Linked DNA regions of Anolis sagrei. The protein of the gene in region 3 binds, or shares a complex with, the protein of the main gene of each other region. Links are inferred from orthologs where the notes say so. Each region holds a gene or a part of one and is shown on either strand. Other genes may lie near its edges. The genes, in order: BMPR1A, RGMA, BMP2 and RGMB.

Region 1 (7,547 bases), on a different chromosome or scaffold from region 3:
CTTAGCACACAGGGCTCCCATGACCAACAGAAAAAACTGGAAGGGTTTGGTGGGCACTGACCTTGAGTTTGGGAATTGTAGTTCACCCACCTCGAGATAGCACTGTGGACTCAAACAATGATAGATCTGGACCAAACTTGGCACGAATATTCCATATGCCCAAATATGAACACAGATGGAGATTAAGGGAAATAGACCTTGACATTTCAGAGTTGTAGTTGCTGGGATTTATAGTTCATCTAAAATTAAAGAGCATTCTGAATCCCACAAACGACAGAATTGGGACTAATTTCCCACACAGAACCCCCATGAGCAACAGAAAATACTTAAGGCCATCCAGTCCAACTCTCTTCACCAGGGCAAGAAAATGTAATCAGAGCCCTCCTGACAAAGAGCCATCCAGTCATAAATATAGATAGATAGATATGATTCTCTTTCACACACACAGATATAGTATCATAGATTTGAAAGAGACCCTTAAAGAAGGACTATGATATGTTGCTATTCCAGAGTAGGCAAACCAGACACTCTCCACATCAACACTGACAAAGAAACAACAAGAAATACTGTTTACTCACAAGCATAAAGGAATTACATATATTAGAAACCAACACTTTCTCATTACTTTATTTTCCAGATCACCAGACTGGGCCACAGCAACGCGTGTCAGGGGACAGCTAGTACAAAAATGCAACGTTTGTTTGTGGGATTAACATAACTCAAAAACCACTGGAAGAATTGACACCAAATTTTATACACACACAAAACACATATACACAGATTGGGCCACAGCAACGCGTGGCAGGGGACGGCTAGTTTAAAATATTTTTATCCCTTTTTTCTTTCTTTACATCCTTTAAAACAACCGGGCATGACATAGTTATACAATAATACCACCGGGCAACAAAACCAGTGGAGATGTTAGTCACTAAGATGATGAATGTGAAGTGTTTTGGACACAAAGAGCTTGTACTGCTCTTGAGCCATGAGCTCTCCTCTTCTATTCTGAAGCAATGGCAGTTCTTTCTAAATGCCAGCTTCCAGTATTGGAACTGGAGGGTGGTAGGCTGGAAGGCGAACAATACAGGCCACTGTTTCCCTCTGAAGCTTCACAGAAGGCCAGCTGCCAATTTCAAGCATCTTCAATGCTTTTCCCATCCACTTGTCCTTCACAAACTGCTTGGCGAAGAGGGCACCGTGCCATGAGAAACTGCTGCGATATCCCAATAACATCTTAGTCAGCTGTCAAGGAAAAGACAAGTACATTGGCACAATGCAGGAGTCTCTTTATAGTAGATTTCACAGGCAATGCAACTCGTTTTTCACATTACTAAGCAAAACCCTTCCTTCATTTTTCCTCATGCTGACTGGGACATTTCCATAGGCTGTCAGGTTTTTATATGAATGTGCTGAGGACAATGTGAAAATGCAGTTTTCACAAAGTATTTTTAAGACAGAACAGACTTGATTTTTTAATTTAAAAAAACCCTAATATATTTACCGAACTGCTGTGTGTTTTTTTTAAAAAAAAAGTTGTCATTTTAAATTGTCCTGACCCATTCCTTTTCCATGCCCTAAAAATTAGATATTATTATTATTATTATTATTATTATTATTTACAGCTTTTATATTCCACCCTTCTCACCCTGCAGGGGACTCAGGGCGGATTACAGTATACACATATATGGCAAACATTCAATGCCAATTTTTGACATACAAACATATACAGACATACACAGAGGCTATTTAACTTTTTCTGGCCACCAGGGGAGCTGTCGCTTTCATCGTCCATCTGCGACACTGATGAAGCACTTCCGCATTCCCCGCATGCTTCCCCGCTGGAATGCTTTGCTGGAGTCTTCTTTATGGCCTCATAAATCAGTTAATTTAGCCTCCCCACACTTTAAGGTGGTACCTTATTTTCCTACTTGACAGATGCAACAGTTGCAAAGGTCGACAACAGGCTACACACAATTGGTTGGAAACCCACTCCAACCCTTCGAACTCATGACCTTTTTGGTCAGAGTGATCTTAATGCAGCTGACACTCAGCCAGCTGCACCACAATCCCGGTGCAGATATGAAGAGCAGGCAAGATCTTTTCTTTTAATATTTATGTGTTGTCGGGTAATTCCATGCTTATGTTGCTGTTATTTTTTGTTCATGTTGTGACTCTGTATATTTTGATCTTGTTGCTTGGAAACTGCCCCGAGTCTCCCGAGAGAGACAGAGCGGTATATAAATAAAGTTTATTGTTATTATTATTATTATTATCATCATCATCATCATCAGTTTTAAACATATCATTCCTAAACAAAAAGAAATATGCTGTCCACTCCTGCTTATCTCCAGTTCACCATTATAACTCACTCTTTCTTACCTAATGGACCAGGAATGGTACTTTGGATTGTTGTAGGTTTTTTTCAGGCTATATGGCCATGTTTTAGAGTCATTTTCTCCTGACGTTTCGCCTGCATCTATGGCAAGCATCCTCAGAGGTAGTGAGGTCTCTTGAAATTAGGAAAATGGAATGACCAGGGTGGGGCAAAGAACTCTTGCCTGTTGGAGCTAGGTGTGAATGTTTCCACTGACCACAGGTTAACCCCCTGTGCCGGCAGGACCGAAGACCGACAGGTCGCAGGTTCGAATCTGGGAAGAGGCAGATGAGCTCCCTCTATCAGCTCCAGCTCCTCATGCGGAGACATGAGAGAAGCCTCCCACAAGGATGATAAAAACATCATAATCATCCGGGTGTCCCCTGGGCAATGTCCTTGCAGACGGCCAATTCTCTCACACCAGGAGTTACTCCTGACACACACACACAAAATTATTATTATTATTATTATTAGTCCCAGCATACATGGTGCTATTCTCCCAATATCAGGAGCCACATGGGTTGCCCATTCCTGTAGCAAATAAATACAACTTGGTATCCTGGGCTGCTCACTTCCCCTTATGGAACTTCCACACAGCCATATAACCCACAATATCTGCTTTGAAATCAGGGGCCTTGCACACAGCCATTTAACCCAGAATATCAAGGCAGATAGAATCAAAGAGTTGGAAGAGACCTCATGGGCCATCCAGTCCAACCCCCTGCCAAGAAGCAGGAATATTGCATTCAAAGCACCCCTGACAGATGGCCATCCAGAAAACAAGCTTGCTCCCTCCTCCCTGTGGCTTCCTCTCACATATTTATACATGGCTATCATATCTCCGCTCAACCTTCTCTTCTTCAAGCTAAACATGCCCAGCTCCTTAAACCGCTCCTGCTTATATGGCACCACAATTCAAGAGAGATATTGACAAGCTGGAATGTGTCCAGAGGAGGGCCACTAAAATGATCAAGGGTCTGGAGAACAAGCCCTATGAGGAGCGGCTTAAGGAGCTGGGCATGTTTAGCCTGAAGAAGAGAAGGCTGAGAGGAGATATGATTTGTTGTTGTTCATTCGTTCAGTCGTCTCCGACTCTTCGTGACCTCATGGACCAGCCCACGCCAGAGCTCCCTGTCGGCCGTCACCACCCCCAGCTCCTTCAAGGTCAGTCCAGTCACCTCAAGGATGCCATCCATCCATCTTGCCCTTGGTTGGCCCCTCTTCCTTTTACCTTCCACTTTCCCCAGCATATGATAGCCAGCCATGTATAAATATGTGAGAGGAAGCCACAGGGAGGAGGGAGTAAGCTTGTTTTCTGCTTCCTTGGAGACTAGGATGCAGAACAATGGCTTCAAACTACAAGAGAGGAGATTCCATCTGAACATGAGGAAGAACTTCCTGACTGTGAGAGCCGTTCAGCAGTGGAACTCTCTGCCCCGGAGTGTGGTGGAGGCTCCTTCTTTGGAAGCTTTTAAACAGAGGCTGGATGGCCATCTGTCAGGGGTGATTTGAATGCAATATTCCTGCTTCTTGGCAGGGGGTTGGACTGGATGGCCCATGAGGTCTCTTCCAGCTCTTTGATTCTATGATTCTATCGCCAAAACTTCCCAAGGTCGGAAATGGCGGGGAAGCTCCGCCTCGCTTTCCCCGAAGGCGCCTCCTTCGGGAATCTCCGCCACCACTTCGGCACCCCTTTCTCCTCTCTTTGGGAAAGGTGTATCCCAATGCGCCTGCGCCAAGTTGGCCTGTGCGGGGAGCTGGGGGCCTCACTTTAAAGCCGACCCCTTCCGAACTTATTCGGCTACTTCCGTAGAGAGGCGGGAAGGCAGCCAAATAACACCTTAGGGACTTTAAAAAGAGAGAGCACGGGGGATGGGGAAGGACAGACGCAGGCACGCGCGGAGGGGGGGGGGGAGGTAGAGTCCGCGCGCCTCGCACTTTCCTCCCCAGCCAATCATGGCATGCTTCACGACTAGCAGTGATTGGAATAATTCGAGTGAGTGAGAGAGAGAGCGTTCCAAACGTTGCTCCCCCCTCCTGCCGTACTCCTCAAGCACGCAAGAGAGAGAGCGCGAGGGAGTGTGTGCGCGCGCGCGACGTTTTCCCTCCGCGTCTTCCTGCGCAGGCGCGTGCCCAGACACATCTACACAGAGGCACACGCGCGCGCGCGCGCGCTCACGCTCTGACGAGGGAGGGGGGACGGCGGCGCTGGCGTCGAGAGGCGGCTGTGGTAAAGGCTGTGGTAAAGGCGGAGAGGCCTGCGCTGTCTCCTCACAGTTTTCTCCCTCGTCTTCGTGGGCCGCCTTCGCCTTCGTCGTGTAGAGAAGCCGAGGAAGGTCCCCACCGGGCCAGGCCCTCAGCCGAGGGGACGCGGTTTACCTCAGACCTGCTTCTCTCTCTCTCTCTGTCTCTCTCCTTCCGCACAAAGGAGGATGAAGGCCCCCCGGCACGGGTGAGTGAGGCAAAGGCGGGGAGCTAATGGCGGCGGGAAGGAGTCCCTTCTCTTCCCTTCCGAAAATATTCCCTCCTCCTTTAAGGCCTGGCTTGAATTGCGTTCGTTTTTGCCTTTTAAGAAGCAAGAGACTTAGTCGCCGTCTCCAGACTAAGAGTAGGCGAGGCCTGGCCGGGAGCTCTATGGAAAGACCCACTCGCACACATAGGCCCCTTCCACACAGCTGAATACAATCGCACATTATCCGATTTGAACTGGAATATATAGCAGTGTGGACTTGGGACCCTTCCACACAGCTATAACCCAGACTATCGAGGCAGAAAAAGCCCACAATATCTGCTTTGAATATCTGAGTCCACACTGCCAGTTCGAAGCAGATCTTGTGAGATTTTGGGTTGTTGTAACGATTTATGCCAATGATCCTCGAACTTTTTAAATAGAGGGCCAGGTCACAGTCCCTCAAACTGTTGGAGGGCCAGATTTTTTATTTTTTTTAATAATAATAATAATAATAATAATTATATCTGCAGCATGGTGTAGATCAGTGTTTCTTAACCTTCCTAATGCCACGACCCATTAATACAGTTCCTCATGTTGTGGTGACCCCCAACCATAACACAGAAATGCTGGACCACACCGATAACCACCATGTCAGACTACACAGAGAAGCCATTGAAATCCACAACCAGGTGGACAATTTCAACAGAAAGGAAGAGACCATGAAAATGAACAAAATCCGGCTACCAGTATTAAAAAACTCTAAAATTACAACAGCAAAACAACAGAGAGGAAACAACCAGGCACATCTTAACACCTCTCAGCAAGAGATTTTCCCAGGCTCAGGCAGGCCTTCAAATGCTAATGAAGGTGATCAGTTGAAACATTCACACCTAGCTCCAACAGACAAGAGTTCTTTGCCCCACCCCAGCCATTCCACAGATATATAAACCCATTGTCCTAATTCCAACAGACCTCACTACCTCTGAGGATGCTTGTCATAGATGCAGGCGAAATGTCAGGAGAAATGCCTCTAGAACATGGCTCTATAGCCCGAAAAAACCCACAAGAACCTAGTGATTCCAGCCATGAAAGCCTTCGACAATACATTATTTTGTTGCTACTTTATAACTGTAATTTTGCTGCTGTAATGAATTGTAATGTAAATATCCGATATGCAGGATGTATTTTCATTCACTGGACCAAATTTGGCAGAAATACCCAATACACCCAAATTTGAATACTGGTGGGGTTGAGGGAGATTGATTTTATCATTTGGGAGTTGTAGTTGCTGGGATATATTAGGGTTCACCTACAATCAAAGAGCATTCTGAACTCCCCCAATGATGGAATTGGACCCAACGTGGCACACAGAAATCCCATGACCAACAGAAAATACTGGAATGGTTTTGGAATTGTAGTTCACATACATCCAGAGAATACTGTGGACTCAAACAATGATCGATCTGGACCAAACTTAGCATGAATGCTCAATATACCCAAATGTGAACACTGGTGGAGATTGGGGAAAATAGACCTTGACATTTGGTAGTTGTAGTTTCTGGGATTTATAGTTCACCTACATTCAAAGAGCATTTTCAACCACACCAACGATAGAATTGGCCCAAACATTCCACACAGAACCCCCATGACTAACAGAAAATACTGTGTTTTTTGATGGTCTTTGGCGACCCCTCTGACACCACCTCGCGACCCCCCCCCCAGGGGTCCCAGGTTGAGAACCACTGGTGTAGATATTATTGTATCTGCAGCATGAGCCAGATTATAATTTGAATATGCACACATTTTATGTGTAGTGCAAAAAACCCCTTAAAAACAATACAATAATTAAAATGAAGAACAGTTTTAACAAATATAAACTAATTAGTATTTCAATGGGAAGTGTGGCCTGCTTTTGGCTGATGAGATAGGATTGTTGTTGTTGTTGTTGTTGTTGTTGTTGTTGTTGTGTGCTTTCAAGTCGTTTCAGATTTAGGTTCAACCTGAGTGAGGGCCGGGTAAATGACCTTGGAGGGCCGTATCTGGCCCCCGGGCCTTAGTTTGAGGACCCCTGGTTTATGCGATCTGAAGAGAAACCGGAATATGCCTTGCCTTGTATTCATATATGGTTTTACTGTATGTATACTGTATGTATGGCCAAGTGTATGTTTTGCATGTTTTGATACGGTCAAAATTGACTAATCAATAAAGAATTGTTGTTGTTGTTGTTGGTTGTTGTAGGTTTTTTCTCCTGACGTTTCGCCTGCATCTATGGCAAGCATTCTCAGAGGTAGTGAGGTCTGTTGGAACTAGGAAAATCTATATAAATAAAAATGTAATGTTCATTTGTGGGATTAACAGAACTCAAAAACCACTGGACGAATTGACACCAAATCTGGACACAAGACAAAACCTAACAACCCAATGTATGTTCTTCACTCAAAAAGAATTGATTTTGTCATTTGGGAGTTGTAGTTGCTGGGATTTATAGTTCACCTACAATCAAAGAGCATTCTGAACCCCATCAACGATGGAATTGAACCAAACTTGGCACACAGAACTTCCATGACCAACAGAAAATACTGGAAGGGTTTGGTGAGCAGTGTCCTTTGGTTTTGGAGTTGTAGTTCACCTACATCCAGAGATCACTGTGGACTCAAACAATGATGGATTTGGACCAAACTACACAAATACTCAATATGCCCAAATGTGAACACTGGTGGA
Region 2 (6,918 bases), on a different chromosome or scaffold from region 3:
GGAAGGATAGGCAAATTTTCTCATCCTTTCTGTCCCTTAGAAAGGAAGTATTATCTTCCGAAAGTGACAATTCACTGATGTGCTGTCACTCTAAGGGCCCTTCCGCACAGCCATATAACCCAGAAAATCAAGGCAGATAAACCCACAATATCTGCTTTGAACTGGGTCGTTGGAGTCCACACTGCTATATAATCCAGTTCAATGTGGGTTTAATACAGTTGTGTGGAGGGGGCCAAATAAACCATCAGAGGAATGAATGGGGGATCTTTTTTTCTTATGTGTGAAAAATGTTTTATGGTGGTTTTGGGTATTGAATCGTTACTATTGTCACCTGAGGGCTGAGAAGGGCGGTATACAAATACAGTAAATCAATCAATAAATAAAAAGAATCCCACTTGGGACGGGAAAAAAACGTTGCAGCTGGTGCCAGGAATTGATGGCTGAGAGTTTGGGATCATTTGGATAGTTCAAATAACCCCGAGGGCTTCAGTAACAAACATCACATCCTACTGAAAGGTTTCTCCTGTCTATAGGAATCCCACCTTTCCCCCCTCTTTCTGGTTCTTTCTTTAGCACCATTTAATTCAGAGGAATTCACTCACATAAAATAAGCTTCGAGTGCATCTACAACAGGTATGAGCAGACTTCAGCCCTCCAGGTGTTTTGGACTCCAACTCCCATAATTCTGGCTGTTAGGAATTGTGGGAGCTGAGGTCCAAAACACCTGGAGGGCTGAAGTTTGCCCTTGCCTGATTTACACTGTGGAATGAATGCTGTTTGACATCACTCACCACCATGGCACAATGCTACGGGATCATAATTTCATGCAGCACCAGCATTTTTTTTTTTTTTTTGGCAGAGAAGGCTAAAAACCTTGTGAATTACAACTCCCACGATTCCATATCACGGAGACATAGAAAGTGGCAATTCTGTGCAGACTCATGGGGGGGGGGGGGGGTCAGCCTCATTGTCCTCAATGGGTCTTGAGTAAATCTACCTAGCTTCTGGCGGTCAGATTGTGGTTTCGTGGTGCTGCAATGCTAGACAAGCTTTCCTCTGTTTTGGAAAGAGAGAGAAAAATAGAATAGCGTGACTTAGTGCTATGAGTGATCACTCATACTCCAAGGGGAAGAGATGTCTCTGAGTGCAATCCTTAATAATAATAATAATAATAATAATAATAATTGATTAATCCAGCACTTAGTGTGACTTATTCCTATGAGTAAGCACTCATACTCAAAAGGGAAGAAATGTCTCCAAGTGCAATCTGTAATAATAATAATAATAATAATAATAATAATAATAATAATAAACCTCAATTAATCCAGCACTTAGTGTGACTTACTCCTATGAGTAAGCACTCATACTCAAAGGGGAAGAGATGTCCCCAAGTGCAATCTGTAATAATAATAATAATAATAATAATAATAATTATCATCATCATCATCATCAATTAAGCCAACACTTAGTGTAACTTACTCCTTTGAGTAAGCACTCATACTCAAAGGGGAAGAGATGTCCCCAAGTGCAATCTGTATTATTATTATTATGAATAATAATAATAATAATAATAATAATAATAATAAACATCTATTAATCCAGCACTTAATGTGACTTACTCCTATGAGTAAGCATTCATACCTATTATATTGTTTCGGGAGGCATCAAAGGGGAAGAGATGTCCCTGAGTGCAATCAATAATAATAATAATAATAATAATAATAATTGATTAATCCAGCACTTAGTGTGACTTACTCCTATGAGTAAGCACTCATACTCAAAGGGAAAGAGATGTCCCCAAGTGCAATCTGTATAATAATAATAATAATAATAATAATAATTGATTAATCCAGCACTTAGTGTGACATACTCCTATGAGTAAGCACTCATACCTATTGTATTGTTTCAGGAGGCATCAAAGGGGAAGAGAGGTCCCCGAGTGCAATCTGTAATAATAATAATAATAATAATTGTAATAATAATAATAATTGGGAAATGTTTGATGTTTGATCCAATACAACAACCAGCAGAGTGTCTTCTGTGGACTCATCTCGTGTTTCAAATAATAATAATAATAATAATAATAATAAACGATTAATCCTCGGTAAACTGATGGACCCCATCATTGAAGGATGTATCCAAAGATAGGCAAATCCCATTGATTCAAAGAGTCTACTCTGATCGGGATGAACAATAGGATTCTGGCCAGCTTCTGATTTTGTTCCTTCCAAAAATTACTTTTATTAGATTTTCAAAAGAGTAGCTTAAACTCAATATTTGGGTTTTTTTTAAAGGGTTGGAAGGGAGAGAAAAAGGAAAAAAGGAGATCTCTTGAGACAACATTTCAAGGAGCGAAATGCAAGCAGGAGGGAGAATTGGACACCTCTCAACAGGTTCCCTAAGTAAACAGAATTAGGGAAGAGGCAGGAGGAGGTCAACCTGGGGTGGGTCAAGGGTCACCAAAATCCTGCTTTCCAAAAAACGAAAAAGAAAGGAAAATATCCCCAAACAACCCAACAACACAAGGGACCTATGCATTCAGCATAGGGATGCTCGGCAACCCAAAGAGGGAGCAAGGGGATAACTGATGAGAAACAGGAGATGCAATTGAGGAAGGTGCGGAAAGCACATAATGGCTTGTAGTCCACCCACAGAGCCCCAAATCCCCATCCCACTGCCTCCTCCCCCTTCCCTTACCTCTTTCCTGTCCATCCCGGCTTACCTTGGTGGCTGCATGAGCATCTACACCTGGCTGGGAGACAGTGGGAGCCGGAAGCCTGCAGGCGTTTGCTGGGATGCCAGGAGTGAGATGGGAGGAGGCGGGAGAAGCTGGATTGACAGCAAAAGAGCAGCCCTTTTTCTTCCTCCCTGCAGACTTTAAGAACCTGCAATGCCCTCCTCCTTTCTCCTTGCCTTTTCCAATGTTGCCTTTAGAGACTGCGGGAGGGAGAAAGCCAGGCTTGCATCTTCGCTTGCATCTCTCACAGCATCTCTGCAAAAGGACCAGGAGGAGGAAGAAGAAGAAGAGGAGGAGGAAGAGAAGAGGAAAAAGGAGAAGGCTGATGGGGGGAAATTGCTGAGCAGTTGCCCAGGTCTAGGAGAGGAGAGGTGCAAGAGCTGAGCTTCGAGAAACTGCTCTCTTGACTCCAAATATGTATTTATTTGTTTGGGACATTTCTTTATTCCCTTTCTCCAAGATGGCTTACAACCATAGTTTGTTTGTTTGTATGGTTATCATGCCAGAAGCAAATTGAGAATACGGTTATAATGTATAGAAAAACCATAATCAGTTTAGCATGATGCTAAATTTTCTTTGATCAGAAGCTGGCCACTGCGACTGCTATGGTGTCACTGTAAAAAGGTCCTCCATTGTGCATGTGGAAAGACTCTGATTGCATTTTAGTCTGTGGTCTGTAGTTTGCTCATATATATATATATATATATATATATATATATATATGGTGGCGTAGTGGGTTAAACCCCTGTGCCGGCAGGACTGAAGCTTGATAGTCAAGCAGTGGTTCTTGTAAGTCAGATCATGGTCCAGAGTGACTCCTAGGTATTTGGGTGTGCTGCAATGCTCTAGTGGAATCCCTTCCCAGATGATGACATGATGGCAACAGTTTTGGACAGCAATGGCTCCCAAAGTGACTCATTTAGGGTGGAATCGGGTGTCAAACAGGGATGTGTCATTGCCCCAACTTTATTCTCCATCTTCATCGCTATAATACCATAGTGGAAATCATCTATCAGACAGATGGCAAGCAGTTTAACCACAGCAGACTGAAAGCTGAGTTATAGAACTCCAGTATGCTGATGACAATGTCATCTGTGCACATTCAGAAGAAGACCTATAAGCCACTCTAAACATCTTCGCAGAAGCATATTAGAAGCTTGGCCTGTCATTGAACATCGAGAAAACCAAAGTGCTCTTCCAGCAGTCACCAGCCAATCCCTCTCCAATGCCAGAAATACAGCTTAATTGTGTAACATTAGAAAATGTTGACCCTTTCTGCTACCTTGGCAGTCGCCTCTCCACAAAAGTCCACATTGACACTGAAATACAACACCACTAGAGCTCTGCAAGTGCAGCTTTTTTCCGAATGAAGCAGAGTGTTTGAAGACCGGGACATCCGTAGGGATACCAAGGTGCTTCTTTGTAAAGCTATTGTCCTCCCAATCCTGCTGTATGCCTGCGAAACGTGGACTGTCTACAGATGTCACATGCAACCCCTGGAACGATTCCATCAGCACTGCCTCCAGAAAATCCTGCAAATTTCTTGGGAAGACAAGTGGACAAATGTCAGTGTGCTGGAAGAAGCAAAGACCACCAGCATTGAAGCGATGGTCCTCTGCCATCAACTCCCCTGGACCAGCCATGTTGTCCGGATGCCCAACCACCATCTCTCAAAGCAGCTGCTCTACTCTGAACTCAAAAATGGAAAATGGAATGTTGGTGGGCAGGAAAAGAGATTGAAAGATGGGCCCAAAGCCAATCTTAAAAACTCTGGCACAGACACTGAGAACTGGGAAGCTCTGGCCCTTGAGCACTCCAGCTGGAGGTCAGCTGTGACCAGCAGTGCTGTAGAATTTGAAGAGGCATGAATGGAGGGCAAAAGAGAGAAATGTGCCAAGAGGAAGGTGCATCAAGCCAACCCCAACCGGGACCGCCTTCCACCTGGAAACCAATGCCCTCACTGCGGGAGAAGATGCAGATCAAGAATAGGGCTCCAGAGTCACTTACAGACCCACCAGTACATTGATCTTGGAAGACTATCCTACTTGGACAATGAGGGATCGCCTAAGTAAGTAAGCAACCAACCAAACATACATAGTTAATAAAGGTAAAGGTAAAGGTAGTCCTTTGACATTAAGTCCAGTCATGTCTGACTCTGGGGTATGGTGCTCATCTCCATTTCTAAGCCGAATAGCCAGCGTTGTCCGTAGACACCTCCAAGGTCATGTGGCCAGCATGACTGCATGGAGTGCCGTTACCTTCCCGCCAGAGCGGTACCTATTGATCTACTCACATTTGCATGTTTTCGAACTGCTAGGTTGGCAGAAGCTAGGGCTGACAGCGGAAGCTCACGCTGCTCCCCAGAATCGAACCTGCGACCTTTCGATCAACAAGCTCAGCAGCTCAGCGCTTTAACCCACTGCACTACCAGGGGCTCCTCAACATAGTTAATACATAGCAATATTGAATGACCCATTAAAATAATCCCAAGTTGGTCCGTATCAGATGTGAAAATGATCAAAATCGACTAAACAGTCTAAAATACCCAGGGAGGTAACCCAATAGGTTCTCATGCTGAGCAGAGACTCTCAGAATCCTTGTCTGTTACCCAAACCATTAAATCATGTTGCCTGTTTTAGCTCGACTTTATTTTAACCTATAGTTTTGAATACTTGCGGCGAAACGAAGGTTATAAATGGAATGAATTAAAAAGGGAACGAAGTGCTCTTGCTCCCACATGTGCCAATTTATCTTCCCTCATTTCAGAATAGTCTAACACTGACTAATACATTCAATTGTCTATAGGGGCCTGAATCTATCTTTCCGGGCTCACGAGTCTCATTAAACTGAAGTAAATATCTTTTAAATGGCAACTACCATTTTTCCATTGAAAACAAAAGAAACTGACAACCCCGCGGAGAAGCCGGGAGAAATGCCTCTTTGGTCTTTCGGGATAAAAAGAGAAACAGGAGGCATCCGAGACAACAAACGACAGCATTCATTTTACGGCACATACACAATCCCGTTTATTGCCACCTTTTATTATTCCAGTCTTTCAGACATGTCATGTCAGAAGCAATGGCACTTATCCTCCGATGCCGTGTTTAAATCTCAGCAAGTGTTTATGTGTGCTAAACACATGTATATCTGGGAGTGTGATAAAATATGTTCAGATCATGGATATATAGCAAGCGAACAGATCTGGATCTGCTGTTAAGCAGAGTATGCAGCTGACTCAATGTCTTTTTTTGTAATTTGAATCCATTCATTCATGTTCTAGCCTCCAGATCAGCAGAAAACAAGACTTCTCCATCTTCTATATGTCACCTTCCATATATCTTCTCCTCTCCAAGCTAAACATACCAAGCATAAAACTTAGAACCATAAATTCATAGAGTTGGAAGAGAGCACAAGGGCTATCCAATCAAACCCCATTATTTTCTGCAGGAATGCCCAATCTAAGCCCTCCTGACAGATGGCCATCCAGCCTCAGCTGAAAGACCTCCAGGATAGGAGAGACTGCCATCTTCCACGGCATATATTTCACTGTCAAACAGCTCTTATCATCAATATTCCCTTCTTAATGTTTAGATTGGCACCGGGATTGTGGTGCAGCTGGCTGAGTGTCAGCTGCATTAAGATCACTCTGACCAAAAGGTCATGAGTTCGAAGCCAGCCCGGGTTGGAGTGGGTTTCCAACCAATTGTGTGTAGCCTGTTGTTGACCTTTGCAACCCGAAAGACAGTTGCATCTGTCAAGTAGGAAAATAAAGTGTGGGGAGGCTAAATTAACTGATTTATGAGGCCATAAAGAAGACTCCAGCAAAGCATTCCAGCGGGGAAGCATGCGGGGAATGCGGAAGTGCTTCATCAGCGTCGCAGATGGATGATGAAAGCAACAGCTCCCCTGGCAGCCAGAAAAAGTTAAATAGCCTCTGTGTATGTCTGTATATGTTTGTATGTCAAAAATTGGCATTGAATGTTTGCCATATATGTGTACACTGTAATCCGCCTTGAGTCCCCTGCGGGGTGAGAAGGGCGGAATATAAAAGCTGTAAATAAATAAATAAATAAATAAATAAATAGATCAAAACATCAAAACATCTGAGCGTCCCCTGGGCAACGTCCTTGCAGACGGCCAATTCTCTCACACCAGAAGCAGTTTCACAAGTCGCTTCTGAC
Region 3 (7,412 bases):
GGCTATGAATAATAATAATAATAATAATAATAATAATAATAGTCTTTATTTATACCCCGCCACCATCTCCCCAACGGGGACTCGAGGTGGTTTACATGAGGCCAAGCCCAAACAACAAATCACAACAAGATTAAAATCAATACACCAGCAAAAACGGTAAAATACGCACATACAAATAATAATAATTTTTTAAAAGAAATATACCAATACAATATGTATAGTAATGACAATGAGCGGGCCACATGTACAAGATAAAATGTTAAAAACTCAGGGTGAGATAATAGAAGTAGGTTATTTGCGAGGGAGAGCTCGTATAAACACGGGTTGAACAAGGCCTTCATATAAGGGAGGGAGAGTATACTCCAAGGACACTAACGTTGAGGGGAGCAATAGTGTAAGATTGTGTGGCTACTCTCCAAAGGCGCAGTGGAAAAGCCAGGTTTTAAGGTGCTTTTTAAAGGTTTCTAAGGTGAGGGCTTTCCTAATATCTCCGGGCAATGAGTTCCAGAGTTGGGGGGCCACAGAGGAGAAGGTTCTCTCCCTTGTACTCACAAGACGGGCCTGTGAGACTGGCAGGGGTGAAAGGAGGGCCTCCCCCGAAGAGTTCGGGCTGGTTCATGGAGAGATATATGATCAAGAAGATAGGGCTTTATAGGTGATCACCTGCACCTTGAATTGGGACCAGAAAATAAATGGCAGCCAGTGAAGTTCCTTAAACAGGGGGGTTGACCGCTCCCTGTAACTCGCCCCTTTCTGCATGTGGCATCAGTTCTTTAAAACAGTGTTTTCCAAACCTTCGTTTCCTAGGTGTTTTGGACTTCAGCTCCCAGGAGATCCAACAGTAAAGAATTCTGGGAGCTGATATCCAAAATACCTGGAGGAACAAAGTTGGGGAAACTGCTTGAAAGGGAGCAGAAAGAGTACAGATAAAGGCCAAATTCTAAAAGGTGGAAATCCCAGCTTGCACTGAATTTTATGAACCAGCCTTCTCTGTTGGCTGGGCATCCCAGGGAAGGTTGGCAGTGCAGGTGGAGGCCCGGCACCTTTCCCAAAACACATGGCGGCTTCTCCTTCTTTGACCTTCAAGCACAACCCTCCGAGTGAGTAAACACTTAAATCCCACCGCACACAGCTAATCCGATTTGTAGAGGCAGAGCCTGCGTGTCGCTTTACCTCTCTTTCCCTTATAGACAAAAGCCAAGATAATAGATCATTGTTCAGCCTTCCTTCAGTCCCAACGGCCTGTTTACTTCTGCAAGGTGAAGGAAAACCCATCCTGTTTTTTCTCTCCTGGCTGAACCTTTGGGATACCCACTCAATCCAAGCTGAGGACCTTGAGGGCCCTTCCACACAGCTAAATAAAATCCCACATTCTCTGTTTTGAACTGGAATATTTGGCAGTGTGGACTCAGATAACCCAGTTCAAAGCAGATATTGTGGGATTTTCTGCTTTGATATCCTGGGCAGAGACGGCCCTAGGTAATTTTCAATGGTAAGCAAACAGTATTTTGGCGCCCCCTCCCCCAACCAATCATTGATATATATTTTCTGTTCATCGTGGGAGTTCTGTGTGCCATATTTGGTTCAATTCCATCATTGGTGGAGTTCAGAATGCTCTTTGATTGTAGGTGAACTATACATCCCAGTAACTACAACTTGTATATGTCAAGGTCTATTTTCCCCCAAGAGCGCCTCAAGAGCGCCCCTGGGCAAAATCAACCATACTGCGAATGCTTACTTTGCGTAATGGTTGAGGCGCCCCTGATCCTGGGCTATATGGTTATGTGGAAGGGCCCAGAGAAACATATATAAGGACCATCTACACTGCCCTATGATGCAGTTTAACTACATTATAGGGCAGTGTAGCCTCATACAATAAAGTTCGATGCATTATACTATGTCACAAAATTTGAAAAATGTTCTGCTCCTGTTCTGAAAGTGTTATTTCCTGTTTCTTGTTTTGAAAGTAGTTGCTTTACTCCAGAACCTTCATTTTTGTGGCTGCCACAAACTATGTTGAATTGGTTGAGAGACTCTGAGATATTCATTGAAAAGCTATAGCCAAATGTGCTGCAGGGTGTCCCACAAAAGCAAAGTTTTGGTAGTTGGATAAACCTTTTCTCACGATGAAAAACTTTTTCTCATGATGATAGAACCAATTAGCAAATGATAACCCAGGAGCAAAAATCATGTGACATAGGCCTCTTCCACATAGCTGAATAAAATCCAACATTATTTGCTTTGAAGTGGAATATATGGCATTGTAGATTCAGGGCCCTTCCACACAGCTCTATATCCCAGAATATCAAGGCACAAAATCCCACAATATCTGCTTTGTACTGGGTTATATGAATCCACACTCAGATAAAGTGGGATTTTCTGTCTTAATATTCTGGGTTATATGGCTGTGTGGAAGGGCCCTTTGGCAGAGAAAGCCCAAAGCCCTGTAAAACTACAGTTCTCATGATCCCAGAGCATGGAGCAAGGGCAAGCCTGCATTCATTCTACACCTGAAATCCACAGATTGATTGGGTCAAAGTTGGCTCAGTTCTGAGGGCCCTTCCACACAGCCATATAACTCAGATTATAACGGCAGATAATCCAAAATATCTGCTTTATCTGAGCCCACACTGTCATATAATCCAGTTCAATGTGGATTTTATACTGCTGAGAAAGGCTGAGAAAGAGCCTAGTCACTGGTCTGGGTATTACCTGACCCTGTGTAATTTGTGTTTGTATTGCATATTTCCCCAGTTATGAGGGACCTGTAAACTACTGTATGTTATCTACCTAACAGTTGTGGATCCATGGACCATAATAATAACGTTGTTGTTGTTGTACTGCTTTGTGGAAGGGGGTCTGAGTGTTGATTTGGGAGTAAATGTCTCCAAGAAGCCCCTTGAGGAATCCCTCTCCTTCCATTTCCTCCCAGGACTGATGGAATTTGGAGTCCAACATCTGGAGGACCATTCCTTTTTTGTCCTGCCAAGGGCTATTTTGAATGGCAACCAAACAGTTGTTGGTTGGAAGGAAGGAAGGAAGGAAGGAAGGAAGGAAGGAAGGAAGGAAAAGAAGGAAGGAAGGAAGGAAGGAAGGAAGGAAGGGAGCGAGGGAGGAAAGAAGGAAAGAAAGGAGAGAGGAAGGAAAGAAGGGAGGGAGAAAGGGAAGAAAGAAGGGATGGGGGAAGGAAAGAATGAAAAAAAGGAAAGGAGGAAGGGAGGAAAGATGGAAAGAAGGAAAGAAAGAAGGGAGGGAGGGAGGGAGTAAAGAAGCAAAGAAAGAAGAAAAGGGGGAAGGAAAGAAGCAAAGAAGGAAGGAAGGAAGGAAAGAAGGGAGGGAGGGAGGAAAGAAGGAAAGAAAGGAGGGAGGGAGGGAAGAAGCAAAAAAAGAAGGAAGGAAGGAAAGAAGGGAGGAAAGAAGGAAGGGAATGAGGGAGTAAAGAAGGGAGAAAATAAGGAAGGAAAGGAGAGAGGAAGGAAAGAAAGGAGGAAGGAAGGAAAGGAAAGGAAGGTAAGGAGCAAAGAAAGAAGGAAAGGAGGAAGGAAAGATGGAAAGAAGAGAAGCAAGAAGGGAAGGAGAAAAGAAGCAAAGGAAGAAGGAAAGGGGGAAGGACAGAAGGAAAGAAAGAAGGGAGGGAGCGAGGGAGCGAGGGAGGGAGGGAGGGAGGAAGGAAGGAAGGAAGGAAGGAAGGAAGGAAGGAAGGAAGGAAGAAGCAAGCGAGCGAGCGAGCGAGGGAGGGAGGGAGGGAGGGAGGGAGGGAGGGAGGGAGGAAGGAAGGAAGGAAGGAAGGAAGGAAGGAAGGAAGGAAGGAAGGAAGGAAGGAAGGAAGGAAGGAAGGAAGGAAGGAAGGAAGGAAGATAGGGAGGGAAGGAAGGAAGAAAAGAAAGGAAGGAAAGACGGAAGGAAGGAAGGAAAGACAGAGGCGGAGACGGGACGGGGAGCCACTCCGGAGCGAACTGCCTCCGACGCCGTGTCTCTTTTCAAATCGATCAATCCCCCGAAAAAGGATCACTGGAAAAGAGGTCCCACTTTCGGCACTGGGCAAACTTTCTGACTCCTTTCTATGGAGTGTGGTGGAATCCCCTTCTCTGGGGTTTTATATTTTTTGTTTAAAGCAGAGGCTGCACGGCCATCTGTCGAGGGTGCTTTGATTGTGTTTGGGGGTTGGACCGGAGGGCGGTTTGGGGTCGCTTCCAACTTGCATCATTCTACGAATCAACAACGATTCCGTTTCTTTCTCTCTGGAGCAAAAGGAGGGGCAACGAAAAAAAGAGAGAAAAAAAAGAGGCGGCGTCCCCTTTAAATATATAGATTTCTCTAAGAAGACGAGCCGCCTTCTTGTGCTGCTGCTGCTGCTGCTTCTTCTCCGCGCGCGGCTTCTCCTCCTCCTCTTCTTGGTTCGCAGGCCGGCTTGTGATTGGCGGAGCCGCGTGAAGCCCTGGCGGCCGTGACATCAGCAAGGAGCGGGCCCACAAAAAGCGCGAGCGAGAGGAGGAGCGGCGGCAGAGGCAGAGAAGGCAGCAAAGGCAGAACATTCTCTCTCTCCAAGACTTGCTTGCGCGGCCAGCGGACAACCCTGCTTTCCTTTTTTCCCGCAAGAGGCGGCTTTGGGGAGACAAACTCACCAAACTTGGGCGCATCCTTAGGACTCTTTCCCCTCTTGATCTTGTAGTTGCGTCTCTATATATTCTTCTTATTGCGATTTCCAACCTCTGGGATGTTTCCGAGACGGCGACGCGGGCCAGGCTGGAGGCGGCCGGCGGCAAAGACGGAATCCTGCTCTTCCTCCTCTTCGAGGCGGCCGAGAAGAAGATGCTAAGAAGACGGGCATTGCCAGGAGCCCGAGAGGCGGGGATGCGCGCTCCGCAGGCGCTCCAGAGCCAGCCCGGCCGGAGACTGAAGCCCAAGCCGAGCGGAGACTGAAGCCCAGCCAAGGAAGGAAGGAAAGAGGCGCGCCGACGGGGCCAGGCACTCCTCTCCCATGCGCGGCTCGGCTCCATGGACGTGCCCCAGTCCCATCCTCCTCCTCCCGCTGCTTCTTAGGCCGTCGGAGGGATCCTAAAAGGTAAAAGACCCCACCAGGCACCTGCCGTCGAGGGCAGCCATCGGATGCGGATGCTCAGTCTCCATGCCTTACTAGGCTCATACTCTGCGCATCTCCAATTGGGACAGTGTAGCGCGCTTTTAGGGGGTCCCATCTCCTCCTCGCTTCCTCCTGAGTCTCAGGTGAAAGAAAGGAGGGGCTCTTTCCTTCCAAGGTGCGCCTCCTTGTCCCAATCTCTTGTTTTTCGGGATCTAGAAGCATTCTCTCCTGACGTTTCGCCTGCATCTCTGGCAAGAGGTTGTGAAGTCATTAGAAGACTCTTTGGGGCAGGGACTCGCAACCCAAGTTGCCTCTGCCACTTCCCTCCTTTGGTTTTCAGGCTTCCCTCTCCACGCCGCTTTGCACTCTTCGGCCCCGTCTACACAGCTGAATAGAATCCCACATTCTCTGCTCTGAACTGGGATATAGGGCAGTGTGGACTCGGGGTCCTTCCAGACAACGCTATAGCCCAGATAACCCAGTTCAAAGCAGATATTATGGGATTTTCTGCCTTTTTGGGGGGGATCCCTTCCACACAGCCCTGTATGCCAGAGTATCTGCTTTGAACTGGGTTATCTGAGTGCACACTCGGATATTGTGGGATTTTCTGCCTTAGTTCTTGGGGGGCTCTTCCATACAGCCCTGTATCCCAAAATATCTGCTTTGAAGTGGATTATCTGAGTTCACACTCAGATACTGTGGGATTTTCTGCCTTAGTTTTTTGGGGGCTCTTTCATACAGCCCTGTATCCCAGAATATCTTCTTTGAACTGGTTATGTGAGTGCACACTCGGATAATGTGGGATTTTCTGCCTTGTTATTCTGGGATATAGGGTTGTGTGGAAGGGCCCTCAGATAATCCAGTTCAAAACAGCTATTGTGGGATTTCCTGCCTTGGTTTTTTGGGGATCCCTTCCACACAGCTCTGTATCCCAGAATATCTGCTTTGAACTGGGTTATCTGAGTGCACACTCGGATATTGTGGGATTTTCTGCCTTAGTTTTTTGGGGGCTATTCCATACAACCTTGTATCCCAGAATGTCTGCTGTGAACTGGGTTATCTGAGTGCACACTCGGATATTGTGGGATTTTCTGCCTTGGTTTTTTGGAGAGCCTTTCCACACAGCCCTGTATCCCAGAATATCTGCTTTGAACTGGGTTATCTGAGTGCACACTCAGATATTGTGGGATTTTCTGCCTTAGTTCTTAGGGGGCTCTTCCATACAGCACTGTATGCCAGGATATCTGCTTTGAACTGGGTTCTCTGAGTGCACACTCAGATAATGTGGGGTTTTCTACCTTGATATTCTGGGATAGAGTGCAGTGTTGAAGGGCCCTCAGATAATCCAGTTCAAAGCAGATATTGTGGTATTTCCTGCCGTGGTTTTTTGGGGAGCTCTTCCACACAGTCCTGTATCCCAGAATATCTGCTGTGAACTGGGTTATATGAGTGCACACTCAGATAATGTGGGATTTTCTGCTTTTACATTCTGGGATACAGGGTTGTGTGGAAGGGCCCTCAGATAATCCAATTCAAAGCAGATATTGTGGGATTTCCTGCCTTGATTCTTGGGGGGCTCTTCCACACAGCCCTGTATCCCAGAATATGCTTTGAACTGGGTCCTCTGAGTGCACACTCAGATAATGTGGGATTTTCTGCCTTGATATTCTGGGAAAGAGTGCAATGTGGAAGGGTCCTCAGATAACCCAGTTTAAAGCAGAAGTTGTGGGATTTTCTGCCTTGGTGGGGTTTTTTTTGGGGGGGGGGGTGGCTTCCACACAGCCCTCTATCCCAGAATATCAAGGCAGGAAATCCAAAAATACCTACTTTGAACTGGGTTCTCTGAGTCTGCACTCAGATAATGTGGGATTTTCTGCCTTGATATTCTGGGATAGAGTGCAATGTGGAAGGGTCCTCAGATAACCCAGTTTAAAGCAGAAGTTGTGGGATTTTCTGCCTTGGTGGGGGTTTTTTTGGGGGGGGGGTGGCTTCCACACAGCCCTCTATCCCAGAATATCAAGGCAGGAAATCCCAAAATACCTACTTTGAACTGGGTTCTCTGAGTCTGCACTCAGATAATGTGGGATTTTCTACCTTGATATTCTTGGATACAGGGCTGTGTGGAAGGGCCCTCAGATAACCCAGTTCAAAGCAGACATTGTGGGATTTTCTGCCTTGGTTTTTGGGGAGCCCTTCCACACAATCCTGTATTCCAGAATATCAAGGCAGGAAATTCCCAAATATTTGCTTTGAACTGGGTTGTCTGAGTCCACACTCGGGGCCCTTCCACTCAGCCCTATATCCCAGAATATCAAGGCAGAAAATCCCA
Region 4 (7,070 bases), on a different chromosome or scaffold from region 3:
GCCTCTTCTGCAAACTTCAACTTCCAGTACTCCATAGGCTTGGATGCAGTAGAACTAACACAGCTTGGAACTGCTTCTTACTGCTGGCCCTCCGTGCTGTGGAATCCTGGGAGTTGTAGTTTTGCAAGGTATTGGGCCTCTTCTGCAAACTAAAACTCCCAGGATTCCATAGGCTTGGCTACAGTAGAACTAACACAGCTTGGAACCGCTTCTAACTGCCATCCCTTCAAGCTGTGGAATTGTGGGAGTTGTAGTTTTCAAGGTATTGAGCCTCTTCTGCAAATTACAATTCCCAGGATTCCATAGGCTTGGAAGCAGCAGAACTAATACAGCTTGGGACTGCTCCTAACTGCCATCCTTCTATGCTGTGGAATCCTGAGAATTGTAGTTTTGCAACGGGCGCACCTACACTGTGGAATGACTGCAGTTTGACAACGCTTGTAATTTCTACGGCTCTGTGGAGTCCTGGGAGCTGTAGTTTTCTAAATTCTTGAGCCTTCCCTGCATCTTCGGTGCCTCACCAAACTACAACTCCCAGGATTCCATAGGCTTGGATGCAGTAGAGCTTGGAACCACTCCTAACTGCCATCCCTCCATGCTGTGGAATCCTGAGAATTGTAGTTTTGCAACGTGCGCCTCTACACTGCGGAATAACTGCAGTTTGACAACACTTGTAGTTTCTATGGCTCCATGCTGTGGAGTCCTGGGAGCTGTAGTTTTCTAAGTTCTTGAGTCTTCACTGCCTCATCAAACTACAACTCCCTGGATTCCATAGTATTGACTCAAGGCAGTTAAAGTGGTGTCAAATTGCATTCATTCTATAGGGGAAGTCTTGCTGAGTTCCATCCATTGGGAGCAAACTAGAACTCCCTACATTTCTCTGTTCCAGCCAAGTGGGATTCCTTTCCCAGGGCCCATCTGACCACTTGGGTTGGTGTGGAGCAGGCCTGGGCAAACTTGGGCCCTTCCTCCAGGTGTTTTGGACTTCAACTCCCACAAGTCCTAACAACTTAAAGGAAAGGGCCTGAGGCTGTTAGGAATGGTGGGAGTTGAAGTCCAAAAGACCTGGAGGGAGAGCCCAAGTTGGCCCATTCCTGGTGTAGATGTACCCTAAGTTGCTATTACAAAATCGGTGGCAATCCCTTGGCGTCTCTCCCTTCCTCCAGCATTCAAGTTCCAGCCGAGCTTTTTTGCCCTCTAGGAATCCGTCTAGTTGGCGCTCGCTCGGTCTGTAACCTAAACCGAGCTTCCATGGGTCACGTGACACAATGCCCCCCCCCCCTTCCCTATTCCTCGCTCCCAGCCAATCATATTCCCAGCCTGTCCCAGCTAAGTGCTCTTGGCTTTGGAAGCCTTATGTTCCAAATCGGAATGTTGGGACAAAGCAGCGGGCGCTCTGATTGGCTGTAGGAAGTACGACGCAGGGCTGAAGGAGTCAGCCTGCGGGTTTTCAGAGCGCGCTTTGCCTTCTTAAAGGGCACGTCCCGAATTTCCTATAACTTAAGATGTGTTTTTAAAAATCACCTTGTTTTAGAGGTTTTTTTTAAATATATAGAACACAGATATCTATTACTGAGATACACAAAGTATTATGTTATTGTTGTTGAAACTTCAAATATGATGTCATATGACAGATTTATTACTTATATACACAATATAGAATAACAACTTCTCTTTATCATGGATAAATGCCCATATTCATGTAGATAAACATAATAGTCCAATTTGTCTGATGACTGAAAGAGTCATTTGTAGATGTTTCAAAGGACTATTAAACCAAAGGACTTTAAACCATCAGACAAATTGGACTATTGTGTTTATCTATGAATATGGTCATTTATCCATGATAAAGAGAAATTGCTCTTCTATATTGTGCATATAAGTAATACATCTGTCATATGACATATTTGAGAGTTTATTTTTAAACAAAGACTGTATGGCCATCTATCAGGATATTTATTTATTGTATCAGGAGCGAACCAAGGCTACGGTTACATCGTATTTTTTTAAAAAACACAAAGTTTGAAAACTTGGCATTATATTAAATGTCCTTTGACCTGTAGCTGGCCACTTAGAGTACCTCTGGTGTTGCTATAAGAAGGTCCTCCATTGTGCATGTGGCAGGGCTCAGGCTGCATTGTAATAGGTCGTCTGTGGTTTGCTCTTTTCCACACTCTCATGTTGTGGACTCCACTTTGTGGCCCCATTTCTTAAGGTTGGCTCTGCATCTTGTGATGCTAGAGTGCAGTCTGTTCAGAACCTTCCAAGTCACCCAGTTTTCTGTGTGTCCAGGAGGGAGTTTCTCATTTGGTATTGGCCATGGATTTAGGTGCTGGGTTTTAACTTGCCACTTTTGGACTCTCGCTTGCTGAGTGTCTCTGTAGATCTTAGAAAACTATTTCTTGATTTAAGTCATTGGCATGCTGGCTGGCAGAATGAGTTTAGATTAGACCAGGGGTCCTCAAACTAAGGCCCGGGGGCCGGATACGGCCCTCCAAGGTCATCTACCTAGCCCTCGCTCAGGTTCATCCTAAGTCTGAAACGACTTGAAAGCATACAACAGCAATCCTATCTCATTAGCCAAAGCAGGCCCCACAGTTTCAATTGAAATACTAATAAGTTTATATCTGTTAAAATCGTTCTTAATTTTAATTGCTGTATTGTTTTAAGTATTTTTGCACTACAAATAATATATGTGCAGTGTACATAGGAATTCATTCATGGTTTTTTGAAATTATAACCCAGCCCTCCAACAGTTTGAGGGACTGTGACATGGCCCTCTGTTTAAAAAGTTTGAGGACCCCTGGATTAGAGGATCTTCCTAACTGTTGAATCTATGCATGCATTTACACCAGGCATGGGCAAACTTTGGCCCTCCCTCCAGGTGTTTTGGACTACAACTCCCACAATTCCTAATAGCCTAATTGCTGTTAGGAATTATGGGAGTTGTAGTCCAGAACACCAGGAGGAAGGGCCAAAGTCTGCCCATGCCTTTAGAATTAGTGCAGCTCGATCCCACTTTGTAATAATGGGAGTTGTAGTTTTGCAAGCTCTTTATAGTCTTTTCTTCTAAAGAATGTGTGGTGGAGGCTCCTTTGTAGGCTTTTAAGCAGAGGCTGGATGGCCATCTGTCGGGTGTGTTTTGAATGCAATTTTCCTGCTTCTTGGCAGAATGGGGTTGGACTGAATGGTCACAAAATCTCTTCCAACTCTATGACCATCTGTCTGGGGTGTTTTGAATGCGATTTTCCTGCTTCTTGGCAGGGAGTTGGACTGAATGGCTCACTAAATCTCTTCCAACTCTATGACCATCTGTCAGGGGTGTTTTGAATGTGATTTTCCTGCTTCTTGGCCGAATGGGGTTGGACTAGATGGCCCACGAGGTCTCTTCCAACTCTATGACCATCTGTCTGGGGTGTTTTGAATGTGATTTTCCTGCTTCTTGGCGGAATGGGGTTGGACTGAATGGCCCACGAAATCTCTTCCAACTCTATGACCATCTGTTGGGAGTGTTTTGAATGTGGTTTTCCTGCTTCTTGGCAGAATGGGCTTGGACTGAATGGCCCACGAAACCTCTTCCAAATTTATGACCCTCTGTCGGGGGTGTTTTGAATGCGATTTTCCTGCTTCTTGGCCGAATGGGATTGGACTGGATGGCCCACGAGGCCTCTTCCAACTCTGTGATTCTATGAATGTTGGCGACCAAACAAATTCCGGGATTCCATAGCATTGAGCCATGGCAGTTAAAGCAGTGCCAAACTGGATTAACCCTACAGTGCAGATGCACCCATACTCCAGGAGCTAGATTCCCTTTTTGTAATCCTCCCAGGATGCAGTGTTGTTTTGAGCCTAACCAGCCCAACCAAAAGGAAAGGAAAGCCAACCCCACCCACTCCTTAAAGTGTAAACACCCAGACAAGCCACTGCGCTCTTTGGCAAAAGTCGACTCCAATTTTTTTTTCAAAGGAGGGGGAGGAAAGTTCCGGCCTCCTATGAGAGCCGCCTTTGTTTTGTTGGACGGCGCCATCCAGCCAATGGGAGCGCAGCGGACGGGGAAGAACCAATGGGAGCGTGGTGGGCGGGGCGGAACCAATGGGAGCGCGGCGGGAGGGGCGCCGGGCGGGGAAGAGCGGAGCCGAGATTGTTTCCAGTGAGGAAGGTCCGGAGGGAGGGAAGGCGAGAAGGAGGAACGGCGCTCGCGGATTCTGACTGGCTTTGTGCCTCTTCTTTCTCTTTCTGGCTTGGGGATGCTGCTGCCGCCGCCTTCGCTGCCTGTCCCTGGCTGGGGCTGACCCTCAGGAAGAAGAAGAGGAAGCGAGGAGAAGGAGGAAAAGGAGGAGGCCCGCCCGGCGGCTCATGCACCCGCCCCGCCGCCGCCTCCTCGCCGCTGGAGCCCCGCAGAGCTGCATGGACGGGCATGGGGAGGGCGGGCCCGTACTGCGCATGCGCTGAGGAGGAGCCGCAGCAGCAGCAGCAACGCCGCAAGCAGCGCCAACCCCCGCCTCTCCTGGGGCTCCTCGTCGGCCTCGGGCTCCTTCTTCACGCAGGTACCGCCGCCGACGCTCTCTTTCCCGGGTGTAGACTGTCAATGCGCATTGGCACCACTTTACCCATCTTATGGAATCCTGGGAGTTGTAGTTTTGCAAGGTCTTGAGCCTCCTCTGCCTTCGCGAACTACAACTCCCAGGATTCCGTAGCCCTCGATGCGGTAGAGTTAACGCAACTTGGCTCCTAACCGCCACCCCTCCAAGCTGTGTTATCCCGGGAGTTGTAGTTTTGCAAAGTTCATGAGCCTCTTCTGCAATCTACAACTCCCAGGATTCCATAGGCTTGGAAGCAGTAGAACTAACACAGCTAGGACAGCTCCAAACCGCCATCCTTCTGTGCTGCGAAATCCTGAGAATTGTAGTTTCGCAAGATCTTGAGCGTCTTCTGCAAGTTACAACTCCCAAGTTTCCATAGGCTTGGGTGCAATAGCATTAAAGCAGTTTGGCACCATTCCTAGCTGCCTTGTAGTTTTGCAAGGTTTCGACCCTCTTCAGCCATTGGAAACTATAACTCCCAGGATTCCATAGGCTTGGACGCAGTAGCATTAACACAGCTTGGCACTGCTCCTAACCGCCACCCCTCCATGTTGTGTAATCCTGGGAGTTGTAGTTTTGCATAGTCTTGAGTCTTTGCTACAAACTACAACTCCCAGGATTCAATAGGCTTGAATGCAATAGAATTAAAGCAGTTTGGCACTGCTTCTCCTAACGGCCATCCCTCCATGGTTTGGAATCCTGGGAGTTGTAGTTTTGCAAGGTTTTAAGCCTCCTCTGCCTTAGCAAACTACAACTCCCAGGATTCCATAGATTTGGATTCAATAGCATTGACACAGCTTGGCACCGCTCCTAACCGTCATCCCTCCATGTTGTGTAATCCTGGGAGTTGTAGTTTTGCAGGGTCTTGAGCCTTTGCTACAAACTACAACTCCCAGGATTCAATAGGCTTGGATGCAGTTAGCATTAACACAGCTTGGCACCACTCCTAACTGCAATCCCTCGATGCTGTGGAAATCCTGGGAGTTGTAGTTTTGCAAGGTTTTAGCCTCCTCTGCCTTATCAAACTACAACTCCCAGGATTCCATAGCCTTCAATGCAGTAGAATTAAGGCAGCATGGAATCCTAGGAGCTGTAGTTTTGCAAAGCCTTGAGCCTCTTCTGCCTTAGCAAACTACAACTCCCAGGATTCCATAGGTTTGGATTCGGTAGCATTGACACAGCTTGGCACCGCTCCTAACAGCCATCCCCTTGATGTTGTGGAATCCTGGGAATTGTAGTTTTACAAGACATTGAGCCTTTTCTACAAACTGCAACTTTCAGAGTTTCCTAGGCTTGGATGTGGTAGAATTAACACATCCTGGCACCACTCCTAACTGCTATCTCTCAATGCTGTGGAATCCTGGGAGTTGTAGTTTTTTCAATGGGTGCACCTACACAGTGGAATGAATGCAGTTTGACAACACTTGTAATTTCTACAGCACAGTTTTATGGGATCTCAAGAGTTGTAGTTTAATAAGTTTTTGAGTCTTCTCTGCCTTGTCAAACTACAACTCCTTGGATTCCATAGCATTGAGTCAAGGTAGTTAAAGTGGTGTCAAATCGCATTCATTCTATAGTGGAAGTCTTGCTGGGTTCCATCACAGTGGGGCATCTACTGTGGCTCAAGGTTATGGGATCCTGGGAGTTGTAGTTTTACAGGATCTTTAGCATTCTCTGCCTCTTTGGTACCTCAGCAAACCACACCTCCCTCCATTCCATAGAATTGGAATCATCTATCATGGCTCAGTGTTCTGGGACCTCAGGAGTGGTAGTTTAATAAGGTCTTGAGCCTTCTCTGCCTCTTTAGTGCCTTGTCAAATTACAACTCCCTGGATTCCATAGCATTGAGTCAAGGCAGTTAAAGTGTTGTCAAATTCCATTCATTCTATAGTGGAAGACTTGCTGGGTTCCATCCCATTGGGGGCAAACTACAACTCCCTATGCTCCATAGGATTGTGGGCCTCTGCCGTGGCTCAATGTTATGGGACTTTAGGAGTTGTAGTTTTACAAGTCTTGAGCTTTCTCTGCCTCTTTGGTGCCTCGTCAGACTACAGCTCCGTATGTTCCATAGGATTCTGGGCATTTGCCATGGCTCAATGTTATGGGGTCTTGGGAGTTGTAGTTTTACAAGGTCTTGAGCCTTCTCTGCCTCTTTGGTTCCTCGTCAATCTACAGCTCCCTACATTCCATAGGATGGGGGACATCTACCATGGCTCAATGTTATGGGATCTTGGGAGTTGTAGTTTAATAAATTCTTGAGCCTTCTCTGCCTCTTTGGTGTTTCGCCAACTACAACTCCCTGCGTTCCATAGGATTGGGGGCATTAAGGCTGTAGAATTAATGCAAGTTGTCAGTACTTTAGTTGCCAGGGCTTAATGCGATGGAATCACGGGAGGGATACTTCTTTAAATCCTCATTTTTGTTAAATCATGAAGGAAGAATCAAAAGAACAAAAACAATACAAACAAAAAAGACAGACTTTCAAAA

The links.
Region 1: the proteins of BMP2 (region 3) and BMPR1A are in contact, whole or in part, in a crystal structure (PDB 2QJ9), measured with the Homo sapiens proteins. The link is inferred for Anolis sagrei from reciprocal best matches to the Homo sapiens genes BMP2 and BMPR1A. Residues at the interface, in NP_001191.1 of Homo sapiens: Lys297, Pro330, Phe331, Pro332, Leu333, Ala334, Asp335, His336, Ser339, Asn341, Ile344, Val345, Leu348, Asn350, Ser351, Val352, Asn353, Ser354; in NP_001393490.1 of Homo sapiens: His66, Cys67, Pro68, Asp69, Ile77, Thr78, Asn79, Phe83, Ile85, Cys100, Met101, Lys102, Glu104, Gly105, Phe108, Gln109, Asp112, Arg120, Ile122.
Region 2: the proteins of BMP2 (region 3) and RGMA are in contact, whole or in part, in a crystal structure (PDB 4UHY), measured with the Homo sapiens proteins. The link is inferred for Anolis sagrei from reciprocal best matches to the Homo sapiens genes BMP2 and RGMA. Residues at the interface, in NP_001191.1 of Homo sapiens: Val308, Gly309, Trp310, Asp312, Trp313, Met371, Tyr373, Leu374, Asp375, Glu376, Lys383, Tyr385, Met388; in NP_064596.2 of Homo sapiens: Arg91, Arg94, Gly95, Leu97, His100, Ser101, His104.
Region 4: the proteins of BMP2 (region 3) and RGMB are in contact, whole or in part, in a crystal structure (PDB 4UI2), measured with the Homo sapiens proteins. The link is inferred for Anolis sagrei from reciprocal best matches to the Homo sapiens genes BMP2 and RGMB. Residues at the interface, in NP_001191.1 of Homo sapiens: Val308, Gly309, Trp310, Trp313, Met371, Tyr373, Leu374, Asp375, Glu376, Tyr385, Met388; in NP_001353437.1 of Homo sapiens: Lys97, Arg100, Gly101, Leu103, His106, Ser107, Leu110.

The regions. Positions count from the first base shown.
Region 1 is NC_090023.1:159,897,302-159,904,848, reverse strand, and holds the start of BMPR1A (bone morphogenetic protein receptor type-1A), read left to right. Parts: upstream 1-4,533; 5' UTR 4,534-4,826; intron 4,827-7,547. UniProt on the Homo sapiens protein: On ligand binding, forms a receptor complex consisting of two type II and two type I transmembrane serine/threonine kinases.
Region 2 is NC_090029.1:17,659,727-17,666,644, reverse strand, and holds the start of RGMA (repulsive guidance molecule A), read right to left. Parts: upstream 3,001-6,918; 5' UTR 2,743-3,000; coding exon 2,723-2,742; intron 1-2,722.
Region 3 is NC_090021.1:147,057,411-147,064,822, reverse strand, and holds the start of BMP2 (bone morphogenetic protein 2), read left to right. Parts: upstream 1-4,401; 5' UTR 4,402-5,065; intron 5,066-7,412. UniProt on the Homo sapiens protein: Growth factor of the TGF-beta superfamily that plays essential roles in many developmental processes, including cardiogenesis, neurogenesis, and osteogenesis. Induces cartilage and bone formation.
Region 4 is NC_090022.1:251,975,149-251,982,218, reverse strand, and holds the start of RGMB (repulsive guidance molecule B), read left to right. Parts: upstream 1-4,048; 5' UTR 4,049-4,063; coding exon 4,064-4,547; intron 4,548-7,070. UniProt on the Homo sapiens protein: Member of the repulsive guidance molecule (RGM) family that contributes to the patterning of the developing nervous system. Acts as a bone morphogenetic protein (BMP) coreceptor that potentiates BMP signaling. Promotes neuronal adhesion.